3 linked regions of the Caenorhabditis elegans genome follow. The gene in region 2 interacts genetically with the main gene of each other region. Each region holds a gene or a part of one and is shown on either strand. Other genes may lie near its edges. The genes, in order: sex-1, lin-25 and egl-18.

What was found.
Region 1: of lin-25 (region 2) and sex-1, changing one enhances a phenotype caused by changing the other (phenotypic enhancement), as found in Caenorhabditis elegans (one large-scale study listed by BioGRID).
Region 3: of lin-25 (region 2) and egl-18, changing one enhances a phenotype caused by changing the other (phenotypic enhancement), as found in Caenorhabditis elegans (one large-scale study listed by BioGRID).

The regions. Positions count from the first base shown.
Region 1 is NC_003284.9:10,203,616-10,207,370, reverse strand, and holds the start of sex-1 (Steroid hormone receptor family member cnr14), read left to right. Parts: upstream 1-1,949; coding exon 1,950-2,123; intron 2,124-2,237; coding exon 2,238-2,430; intron 2,431-3,353; coding exon 3,354-3,502; intron 3,503-3,755. UniProt on the Caenorhabditis elegans protein: Transcriptional regulator which is involved in the sex determination and X chromosome dosage compensation pathways.
Region 2 is NC_003283.11:12,648,146-12,651,900, reverse strand, and holds the start of lin-25 (Protein lin-25), read right to left. Parts: upstream 1,977-3,755; 5' UTR 1,945-1,976; coding exon 1,912-1,944; intron 1,842-1,911; coding exon 1,727-1,841; intron 1,680-1,726; coding exon 1,597-1,679; intron 1,550-1,596; coding exon 1,440-1,549; intron 1,390-1,439; coding exon 1,302-1,389; intron 1-1,301. UniProt on the Caenorhabditis elegans protein: Participates in the inductive signaling pathway downstream of let-60 Ras and the RAF/MAP kinase cascade to regulate specification and differentiation of many cell types. Positively regulates the fate of vulval precursor cells.
Region 3 is NC_003282.8:1,911,316-1,915,070, reverse strand, and holds the start of egl-18 (Putative transcription factor egl-18), read right to left. Parts: upstream 1,626-3,755; 5' UTR 1,600-1,625; coding exon 1,474-1,599; intron 1,429-1,473; coding exon 898-1,428; intron 387-897; coding exon 141-386; intron 1-140. UniProt on the Caenorhabditis elegans protein: Probable transcription factor. Involved in embryonic development and in vulval development in larvae, acting redundantly, at least in part, with elt-6.

The sequences.
Region 1 (3,755 bases), on a different chromosome or scaffold from region 2:
GATGATTTTTATCTTGCTTATGTATCTTAAATCGTTAAGAGTAGAGAAAAATGAAACAGCTGTTTTCTTTTTTTTCTTGGAAAAATGCCTGTGTAGATGGAAGAACATGGTGCAATAGAAACAAATTTATGAATTGTTCAAAAATTCGTCATTTTGAAGAAAGTACATCGACAGATGCACAAAATTTCGCAGAGAGTCTTTTATGCTTTAACAGTTCCAGCTGTCGTTTTGATGAATTTTCCATAAAGTACAAAGTTAGGGTGAAGTTTATTTGTGAAACGGGAATGCAATTCGTGAACTCATAAAGATTGTGCATGTTACTGAAACGTCTCTTCGTAATAGAAACCGGGGAAAAGGCATAAGTTGCATCATTAAGAGATGTTAGCTAGGGAAAGATGTGCACGAAGGTGTATTGTTATGTCCGAGTGTACAAGTGGAGGACGAAATATTGGTGATCTAGAATTCCGTTAGTAATTTAGATGCCTTACTAGTTACACAGTTCACGCAATAGCCGGCGAGCGTTAATTGTTGAAGTTATGTGCTATATTATGTGCCATTTTTGGAGATATTAATAATATTCACTCTTATTAGAGTATCCTCCCGTCCTATATATTTCATCTCCCAAGTTGTGTATGCGCAAGCGATGTGCACCAATTTTTAAAGGTGGTTGTAAACCGGCAGACCTCTTTCCAGACGGTGTCTTGTTGTGCGCATTCGCCTCTTCTCCTCCCCTTTGCAGACTGTTCATTTCTCGATCACAGTTGTCTCGTTTTTCATCTCCAACAATTGCGGACCACTGCATTGCCTCCTCTTCTCTCTCAGTCCGCACTTTTTTGGATCGATATTTTGTTTTTCATTGTGCATATCTCTAGTTTGTTGAGTTTTCTCTGTGTGATTCTTTGCAACTCTGTAAACATTATTATCTTACTCTTCTCACTACACGTCATCGCTTCCCAACATCTCGTCACTTCTCCTCACCCAAGAGGTGTCAATTCACACCTTAACATGATGGTGAAGTGAGCTCGAGTGGATAGTACTTCATCTCGAGCCCTCCTTCTGTTGCTTTATCTTACCGTCTCCTCTTCCCTAGTTTTTTCCTGTGAGAAAGGCACGCAACCATGCAACACATTGTGTATGGAATATCTAATTGCAAATTGCGCAAGAATTGCCTAGAACAACGCAATCATTTTCTCGGGGGAGAACGCAGTAATCTTGTTCGCTCAAACTATCTTCGTTTATTTTTGTGCGTGATTGTGGACTTGGCTGATCAATTTTTGCATCCATGATTTCTACCAAAAACTTTTAAAAAAAAAATGCACACATGTGTAGTAGCGGCTTAACATGTGAAGGACTATACTAGGTAGTTATAAATTGTATCACATCTTCTCAACCTAGTTGAATTTGTTGGAAACTTCATAATGCTTTTGGAAATTGTTCTATTCAGATCACTTTTGAATTTTAATTTAAGAAGTTGAACACGTTTCTTACTTTCCGGTACTAAAATATCAATTAAAAGGTAAAATTTTACTCTAAAACCATGTGTGAAGCTCACCTCATGCCACCCGTTTTTTTAATCGAAATGTGCTTGCTTGTCGAGCAATCTCCCAGTGGTGCACTCCTCCTCAGCTCCGCCTATCCTCCTCGTCTCTCCCCATCCTCTCACCCACAGGCAGGCATTCAGCGCAGATTAATACACGATACCAGCCTTCCTTATTGCTAGTTAATAGTTCCCTGCTTTAAAAACTAATTGTTGATTTCTAGATTCTAGCTTTCCATGTTCTCTTCATCAAATTGTTATCACGTTTTTCTCGAACTGCTGTTCTTTTCCTTTGTCAGCAGATTTTCCATTTCTTTCTTTTACCTTTCAGATAATTCTCTTACCAATTCTCTGTCTCTTCCCACTGTGAAAGTTGTCCGTTACTGCATTACTCAATAATTTTAATTTTCAGATGAGTTTCGAAACAAAACCTAACTATCTGTTACTGACAAATCCTGACACACCGCTTTCTGTATGCACATCTCCATACTACAGCCCTTCTGGAAAAACAGCTTCAATTCCATCATCAGAGGCAAGCAAACCAGAAGGAACAAATGGTCAATGGTCACATCTTCCGACTGGAGCTGTAAGTTTTTGTCGTCATCATTTTCATATTTTGTTCTGATTTACAAAGTTAATGCGTAGTTTCAAAATAGAAATCCAGGAATTAAACTGAAAACTAAATCTTCTCAATTTGCAGACGTACGTGACGGATGAATTCTCGTCAGAATTCCAAATCCAAAACGGATCGACAGCAGCTCAAAGTGGTAACGCCAACAACTACGCTGACCCTCTCTCACACCGTCGCTACTTCAATAACGTCAATGGGTACAATCACCATCAGTTCTATGATACGGCGTCACAAGCCAGCGTGAGCTCGCCGGCAACAAGTGGTAAGTTAGGGAGTCTATTTCTATCAAAATCTATCAGTAGGTGGGGCATATCATCAAGTGTGTGGTGACAAGTGGCAGCAACATCTACAGCAACACAGATTTTTTTCCTCACCTAAGAACATGTGTCTGAGAAGTGTTGCAAGTTTCCGAGTTTCTCTCGCCTTTTTTCTTTATTTCTCCCATTTAATTGATAGAAGAATGAGAGCAGAGAAAATGAAAAAGTCTAATAGACTTTGCAATCATTCTTCATCTCTTCCCTCTCTGGATCATATTTAGCTCGATAGGGACCAGATCAGTTGTGCTCTGTTCCACGTATCTTCCTGTATTCTAAGATGGCCTACTTTTGTACAACGAAAGTGAAGGCAAGCGGCTATGACGTGGTTGCGTAATAATCTCCAGGTTTCGTCATTTCTTTGGACGTCCGCTGCCAGACCACAGTGATGTATGGGTACGGTAATAAAAGAATGCCGATGGGTGAAAGAAGAGGAGAAGACGAAGTGTAATAAAGGAGGAGAACGTAGAGAACGGTGAAAGAGTGCGATGTAGGCGTGGTAAAAAGACTGTGAGAGTGAGAGAGACAATGAGAACGCATATGCCACAAATCTTGAAGATGTGGCTAAGAGCTTACTGAGTCGCGGAGAGAACGGGACCAAGGAAAACTAGGTAAATACTATCACGTCATCATTGAGAAGGAAACAAATATGGTGTGCACAGTGTACTTCAATAAATTTCACTGGTATACATAGCATGTTAAATCTGTAATCTGCCAAGTTGAGTTAAATTTGTATATTTCTGATGTGTAAATAAGTTTAGAAAAAGAATAAAACAGAAGAATTCGAAGAATCGAAGAAATGTTGTATGACCATATCACCCACTTGAAAATTGACTCTTCTAAAATTTCTTAGATAATTTTACATTTACAGTAACTTCATCGTTGTCTCCTCCTGATTCCTTATCAAATGGTCATACCACTCAACGTCATCACATTGGGAAGGCGATCTCATTTTGCAAAGTATGCGGAGACAAAGCAAGTGGATACCATTACGGAGTGACGTCATGCGAAGGATGCAAGGTAGGCATGAATGGTCCTAAAATGATCACTAATCACGTGGTTCTATTGAATTTAATGAAACCCTTCTCCACTCATAAATCCCCTTCTTGTTCTATTTACGAAACCTATATTTATGACCGTCTTATTTGATTTTTTGTTTTCCCTTATGTTAGACCAAGAGCGAGAGAATGAGCACTTCCCCAACACAAATTGCGCAATTATTTGGAGACTGTGTATTGCTATGTGCATTAAGGACTCTCTTTTCCCATTGTGC
Region 2 (3,755 bases):
TTCAATTTCGATCGAATTCGATTTGCCAATAACGAAAACGACGAAAACGTTACGTTTGAAGCCGGAAAATGGGATTTTGATACGAAAAATTATTTTAAAAAATAAACTTTTTATATACACTCTTGGAAAAATAAGAACTGTAGTGGTTTTTGAGAAAAAACATTTTAGGCCCAAAATTTAATTTCAAATGTTTCATTTCTGTATCTCGTATCAACATGCATGTACAATTTTCTAGAAATTTCAAGTCAAGGGAAGGTTTTCACTGGACAACAACGTTTATACGCAGGATATTATTTACAGGCACACTCTTTTTTGCCAGTAGAAATAACTACAAAAAGGACCATTTAGTTGTTGATAAGGAGAGTTGACAAAGTTTTCAGAACTAAATATCTGAAAAAGTAATGGAAGCTTCTTACTTCGTACAGCTCGGTTGGTTTCACATATTCCTTGGAACCGCGGCCGCCACTCGCCTGTTTGGAGAAGTGGTAAAGCGCGCGCTCTTCAGTAGAGTCATTGCTGGTTCGAATCTGGATCCATTCAGATTTTTTTTCAAATAGTTTGCACGGGAAAAGTGTTCCTTATCTTAAGCTTAACAAGTTTGCGATTGATTAATTTTTCGCATTCCCTCTGTCCGAAAAGATATGTGGGTATATAGAGCCCTACTTGTCGAGTTTCTTATTATTATGCCAAATCACAAAGTTGACAGGAATGTTTTCAAAAACGACAGATTGAGAATTTTTCTACAATAACTGATCAGTGCCTAATAAGGTTTCAAAATAGTTTTGTTTGGAAAATTTTCATAAATTTCATTTTCCCGTTCTGATATCGTCGGATTCAGTTAAAAACCGCTCAGACAGTAGTATATTTCAAAAGTTGGAAAAAGAACACAGCTATGAAACTTTCATGTTGATTTCAGAGTGAAATTGTAATTATACCTAAAATCTGCTACAAGGTAACTTTCAAATTCCAACTTTTGATATTCTTTTTTTCATTAGGTAGTAAAAAATCGTTAATCGTAGTAAAAGATACGAATCGTAGTAAAAAATCAAATTCGGAAACCGTAGTAAAAAAAACGGCCGTAGTAAAAGATACATTTCGTAGTAAAAAATCGAAATTGGAAAATGTAGTAAAAAATACGGCCGTAGTAAAAGAGTAAACCGTAGTAAAAGAGCAACGTAGTAAAAGATGAGGTAGTAAAAGAGCATTTGCCAATTTTGAACATATATTTTGGTAACCTTCAACATGTAAGCTTTTAACTTTAAACAACATTTATCGCTCGTTAAAAATACTAAAAATCTTACTTGTATCAGTTGCGCGAGGAAGAAAACAGTCGGCTTCATAATCGAAATAAGCTCATCTGCATGCAATTTATCAGAAAATGACTTGATTCTGAAATTAATAAACTTGGCAAAATTTTTCAATTAAAAATGCCAACTCACTGTACATAGTTGACCATTTCCCGGATCAATTCGCATTGCAAACATTTCGAATAAATTCTATCTGTTTTTGTATTTATCACACTGTGGATGACTTGATTCCAGGTGATTGACTGTAAATTTATAATTTTTTGGAATAAAACAAAGAACTACAGAGTACCTTATCTACGACAAGTTTGAGAAGATGGTCCCGGAAAACATCATCGATATATGTTCCATTATAAGCAAACCGAATCAAAATATCTGAATAAAATATATTAATACAATTACAAAAAAGAATTGCAACAAACCACAAAGCTGCTGAGTTGAGATACCGGGAAAGTCAACTGGACGAATGACTGATGATACTTTTTGTCGTTTTTCATTTGAGCAATTGCGGAGTTTGTCAATATATTCAATAACTATCTAAAAAAAAATTAAATACAAAATAAGTTTGTTGAAATTAAAATAAAAATTTATTTAAAAAAAAACTCACTTTTGTTGAACTATCAATTTTGATACTATTCATGATTTAATTGATTTAAATTTGAAGCATTTAAACTGTAACCAAAATATATTCAAACACCGACATTAACCCAATATTCGGTGCAATAGTATAAATGGATGTGAGACGTAGACACGCAATAGAGCGAGGTGGCCGAGTGTTTATTGTCCCCCACTACTTGGGGGACTAGGTACGATGCATTCCTCTTCCATTGTACATTTTCTGACATAGGAGGGATGTCTTCCTTCACTTCTCAGAGTCAATGAAAAATTGGGCGTGGACGGCATTTATTTTCAATGATTCTACACAATTTTCAGATGTAATAATCAAACTGCCACCCCAACAATCTCTTAAGACGATTTAATTCAGCTTCATTCACTTTTCATTTTCAAAAAAAAACTTTAAGCTTGTTTTAATTACTTGTTTATAAGTTACCATGGAAACATTACATTTTCTAAAATGTGCTTTGCACTCAAACTATAGTTTAAGTTTATATATAAACTTGGAAATAACAACTTTCAATATCTTGAGCATGTCTCAAATTATTTCATTCGTAATTTTCACTAGTGTTTTTATCAGACCCAAAGCCACTATTGTAAAAAAAAACTAGGCAAAACTTTCAGCCTTTCAAAGCTGGGTGCATCATTTTCTTCATCGGCCAAAAATCATGTTCTCGGCAGAGAGCAACTTAAGAAACAGGTGGAGGTTAAGTAAAACTTTGAGTGAAAATATATTTTTGAAGATAGATGAAAACTTGAAAATCGAAACACAAATACTCGAGGAACGTAAGAAGAAGGCTTTAAAGCTTCTTATCATAGGTACCTGATTAAAAAAAAAAACATAATCAAAATGTAACCTTTATTATATTTAGGTCCGGGAGAGTCAGGAAAAAGTACAATAGTCAAGCAAGTAAGGTAAATTCAATGAAAACTACATTTTTTCAGTTGCTTCCAAAAATTATCACCTACTCAGCTGATTTTCAAAATAATTAGATAATATATTATCGGTAGTTTGTAATATTGAAATTTTGAGAATTCTTCATTGTGGAGGATACAGTGTTGAAGAAAAAAGAGCTCTAAAACATGGAATTTATATAAATATCTTGGAAGGTATTGATGAGATACACTGGGCAATTATGTGGAGACAATTAATTTACGAAAATCCATCTTCAATTGTAAGTAATTACCGTATTTCCTCTATTAGTTTTGCACCCCTTTGCTCAACTTTGACAACTCATATCTCGTTTTGTTTTAAGCATATAAATAATTAACAAACTACAAACGTTAGAAAACATCTTGCAAAAATTTTATCAGTTGACAACTTTTTTATAAAACAAACGACTACTGAGATATGAGCTGTGAAAGTTGAGCAAAGGGGTGCAAAACTAATAGAGGAAATACGGTAAATGTTTCAAAACTAATTTCCATTATAGGAATGCCTAAATCAAATCCGAATATTTACGAAACAGTTCAATAAAACTGGAGAGACTGAAAATGTTTTGTGCAAAGACATTATAAAGTCTATCCAGATGTACATAAAAGATGAAACAGTTGCCATGATGTTGAGGAATAAAACTGTTTATAATATTGAAGACTCAACAATTCAGCAAGTTAAACGTTGGGTTTTATTCAGTCTAATTATTATTATTTCCAGTTTCATTGAAAACCTTGCAAGAGTTATTGGAAAAGAATACTTGCCAACCGGAGAAGATATATTGAAAACCAGAGTCCCAACCTTGGGAATTGCACAATATGAAGCAAATATAAAACATTTGACTTTCAAGTAACACTTTGTTCAGTTTGTTGTGGTTTTTGGAAGGAAACAATTATTTACAG
Region 3 (3,755 bases), on a different chromosome or scaffold from region 2:
GCTATCTTAACTAGGTTGTTTCCTTCTATTCGCATCAGATAACAAACACTCTCTTATTCCCCCCATTAGAAGCTGTTACTGCTGCTACTCTACTGTCGCTGCTAATATCTTTCTGCTAATGAATAACACGACGAACAAACCTTGTGCAATCGATAGTAGAGCCCACACGGATTGCAGACAAGCTTCCCCTCGGCGTCACGTCGCCACGCGGTTGTCTTGTCGGTTCGGCAGTTGGAGCATCGCGCCGCGTTCGGATCACCACTCGTCTCGGTTTTCTCAAACATTGAACTGTCTTGGCTTTGGGATGATGGTGTGGCGACTGCTTCGATGACCGCTTGTACTTGGGATGATGATGATGGTGGAGATGTGGTGGAGGTCTGGAAGAACTGATATGTGATTAGGAGTGAATGTATTTATTGATTGATTGAAGGAGCTGCTGAAAGATCGCAGAGATCCTAAAGAACTCAGGGTGGATCTTAGAAGCTCCTCAAAGATCCTGAAAAACCCTAAAGCAGCTAAGGAGCTCTGGGAGGTTTCAATGGATCCTGGCGACTTTCAAGGGCTCGCTGGAAGTCCGCTGGAAGTCAGGGCAGCAGTTAAAGCTTGTCAAGGTGCGCAATGATCCTGAGCAACTTTGGGAGCTTCCGGACCTTCACAAGGGTTTCCCCAGAAGTAGGCTCCTCAAGGAACCCTGCGAACTCCGATCATAGAGCTTCGGGAACTTCTCCCCAAAGTTCTCGAAAGATCCTAAATCCAATCAGGATCCTAGAAATCCTAAGTGCAAAAAAATCGCGCAGCGGTAGATTTTCAAAAGCGAACGCCGCCTCCCGGGGTGATATATCTTTCCTTTGTTCGCCCCCCCCCCCCCCCCCCCTTTGGCCCTTCCTCAACACTTACCGCCTGTCCGTTGCTGCTAAACTGTGCTGTTAGTGCATCCAAAAGGTTCTGCGCCTCTGTAGCCGTCGGGATATCGGATCGCTCCGACTCTTCCTGTTTCACATCCTGATCCATTGGATCTTCAATTTTCACGGATTTCGATTGTGGTGGGCTCACGGATTGTTGATTCTCAATGTGCTGGTGGTGTTGTTGCTGCTGCTGCTGCTGTTGAACCATTGATAATAATTGCATCATTCCATTTGGATTTGACATATTCAGAGGATCAAACATGAATCCGTTCATCAAATTCGAAAAGTCTGGAAGTGGACTCGCAGCTGCCGGTGGGCTCCGCTCCTTGGGCTTCCGCTTCCGGGCTCCTGATACTGGAGCGACTACTGTCTCGACAAGCTTCGGAGAGCTCCTCGACTCTGCCGGTGATGGTGAGGCTTTTCCCGATGAGACCGATGAGCTTTTCAGCTCATTGTTCTCTTTGAGCAGCTCGTCGAGCCGATACTGAAGTTTGTCCATTCGCTCCATAACCATGCTGATTGTCTGGAAATTTTTTAATTGTTAATGGTTTTTTGAGCTCTAAATTACCTTTGCAACATCCTTCTGTAACTGTTTGCAACCACTACACGGCTCATCTGACGGCCTCTGGAGCACTTCGTGGTGTTGTTGCTCGGCGGATTCTGGTCTCGTTTCCGTCATTATGCTGATCGACATATAGACTGTGTGGAGACACTGCAAAAAATGGAAAATTTAGAGGGAAAATGTGCAGGGGAAGTAAAATATCAAGAGAGTACGAGGATAAAATTTTGACCTGAACAGAGTTGGGGTAGGGCTTAAAATGGGTGATTTTGGACTAAAAAACTGATTTTTCGGGGGACAATTTTATTTGAACCTTAAAATGTACTACTATGGAGGTACCAGAAATTGACGGCCTAAACGGCCTAAAATAGCCGTTTTGTATGGAGAATTCAGGCCGATAAATAGCTTAGTTTTAATTCTTAAAGGGTCAATTTTTATCAATAAAAGCCTATTTAAAAACTATTTGGGGCTAAAAATACGTAGCATAAACATAGGGATCTACTCAAAATTAGCAATTTGGAGATTAAATTTAAGCTATGAATCAGAAAAATGCGGACTATTTCGGCCTAAAATCGGCTTAGTTCAAGCTGAAACTAGACAAAAAATAATCAAAAATATAGGTCAAAACTTTAAAAAGGGAGGCCCTCCTTACTGACAAGAATGGACCAACAAGTAAATAACCATAAAATGACACTGATCAACGCGAAGAAAATGGGCGGGATATTGTGTGGAGAAGAACGCTACTCACCGCCCGTCTCCGCCCCTTTTCCCCCAGCCGGACAAACGTGGAAATTAGGTGGATAGGGGGGGGGGGGGGGGGGAAGAGGGGAGACGATTTGTTGTGTTGTTGTACGACAAATTATGCACGTAGTATCACCCCGACACTAAACCTAATCGATAATTGTAGATGTGCCAAATTTTAGCTTGTCGATAACGGAAGTTGTTTGGAACTGTGCCAAGTGTCAAGGAAACTCGAAATATATCAATTTTTCAAAATTGGTGTCTTTTTTTTTGCATAAAAAAGCTGGAAAAAAACAGATTTTGCCGGAAAACCGTTGTAATTTTTCGATAAAAAAGTGCTAATAATGATCCCTCCGAAAAATTCAGCTGCCCCGGTTCAGGTACAGCAAAGTGATGGCGTTTTGAAAGTCTCTAAAACACCTTATTACAAAATTTCCAAAAACAAAATTGGAATCTTTGCCATGTTTTTTTAAACATTTTTTTGATTTGCTACAATAGTTTTTATCAATTTAAAAAAAAAATTTTTTTTTTGAAAATTTGAGTTTCGGTATAGATTAAGGATGGGCGGCACATCGGCAAACTGCCGGAATTGAAATTTCCGGCAAATCGACAATGTGCCGGTTTGCCGATTTGCCGAACATTTTCTGCAAATTGGGAATTTGCACGTTTTTTTTTAAATTCTGAATTCCAATTTTAATCGGCAAAAAGTGTACGCATCCTTTTGAAAAGTAAACAAATTCTATGATTTCCGGCAAATCTTATGTACGGCAAACGGCAAATCGGAATTTTTTTGGCAAAAATTGCAACTTCCGGAAAATCGGCAAATTGCCGAAATTGAAGTTTTCCGGCAACTCGGCAAACCGGCAACTTACCGACAAAAAAATTGGCAAAACGCCAAGTGCCGGCCACCCATGGTATAAATGCTCAAAATTGGTCGAATCGAGCGGAGAAATCTGTGAAAAAGCTTTCACCGAGCCCTGAGCTAATATGCCAGGTAAAAAATCAAACAATTTTCCAGGACAAGGCTGAATTCTCAGCTAATCTCAGATAACACCTGCCGAGAACCTGTGTGGCGGTAACACCCTGGTGGTCCATCTGACAAGGAGACGATGCACCATAACCGGTCTAAGAGCCCGTAAACAGTGGTGTCCTAACACAAGAAACGATGAGGTGATGAGTCCGTGATGAGTCCGAACAAAGGAATGCAGTGGAGAATGTGAGTGTATGTGTGTGTGTGTGTGACGATGTTAGTGAGAAGATGGTAATCTTCAAACATTCTTATCGATTCGATTGGATGGCTGCTGATCAGAAGAGTTGATTGCGATCTTCTCTTCGAAACGAAGTCTCTCTCTTTTTGCCTCAACTTCTTCCTCAACATCCTTCCTTTATTTGGGCCGTCGTCACACGCGTGTTAACACCGAATCAGTTGCGCACGATCGGGAAGAGAGAGAGAGGGGGTTGTTAGATATAGATTAGCATCTTTTAGTAGGGGGGACAAGGAAAGACAAGCCCCATGAAAGTGTAGAAAGATAGGAAGAAGAAAGATTATC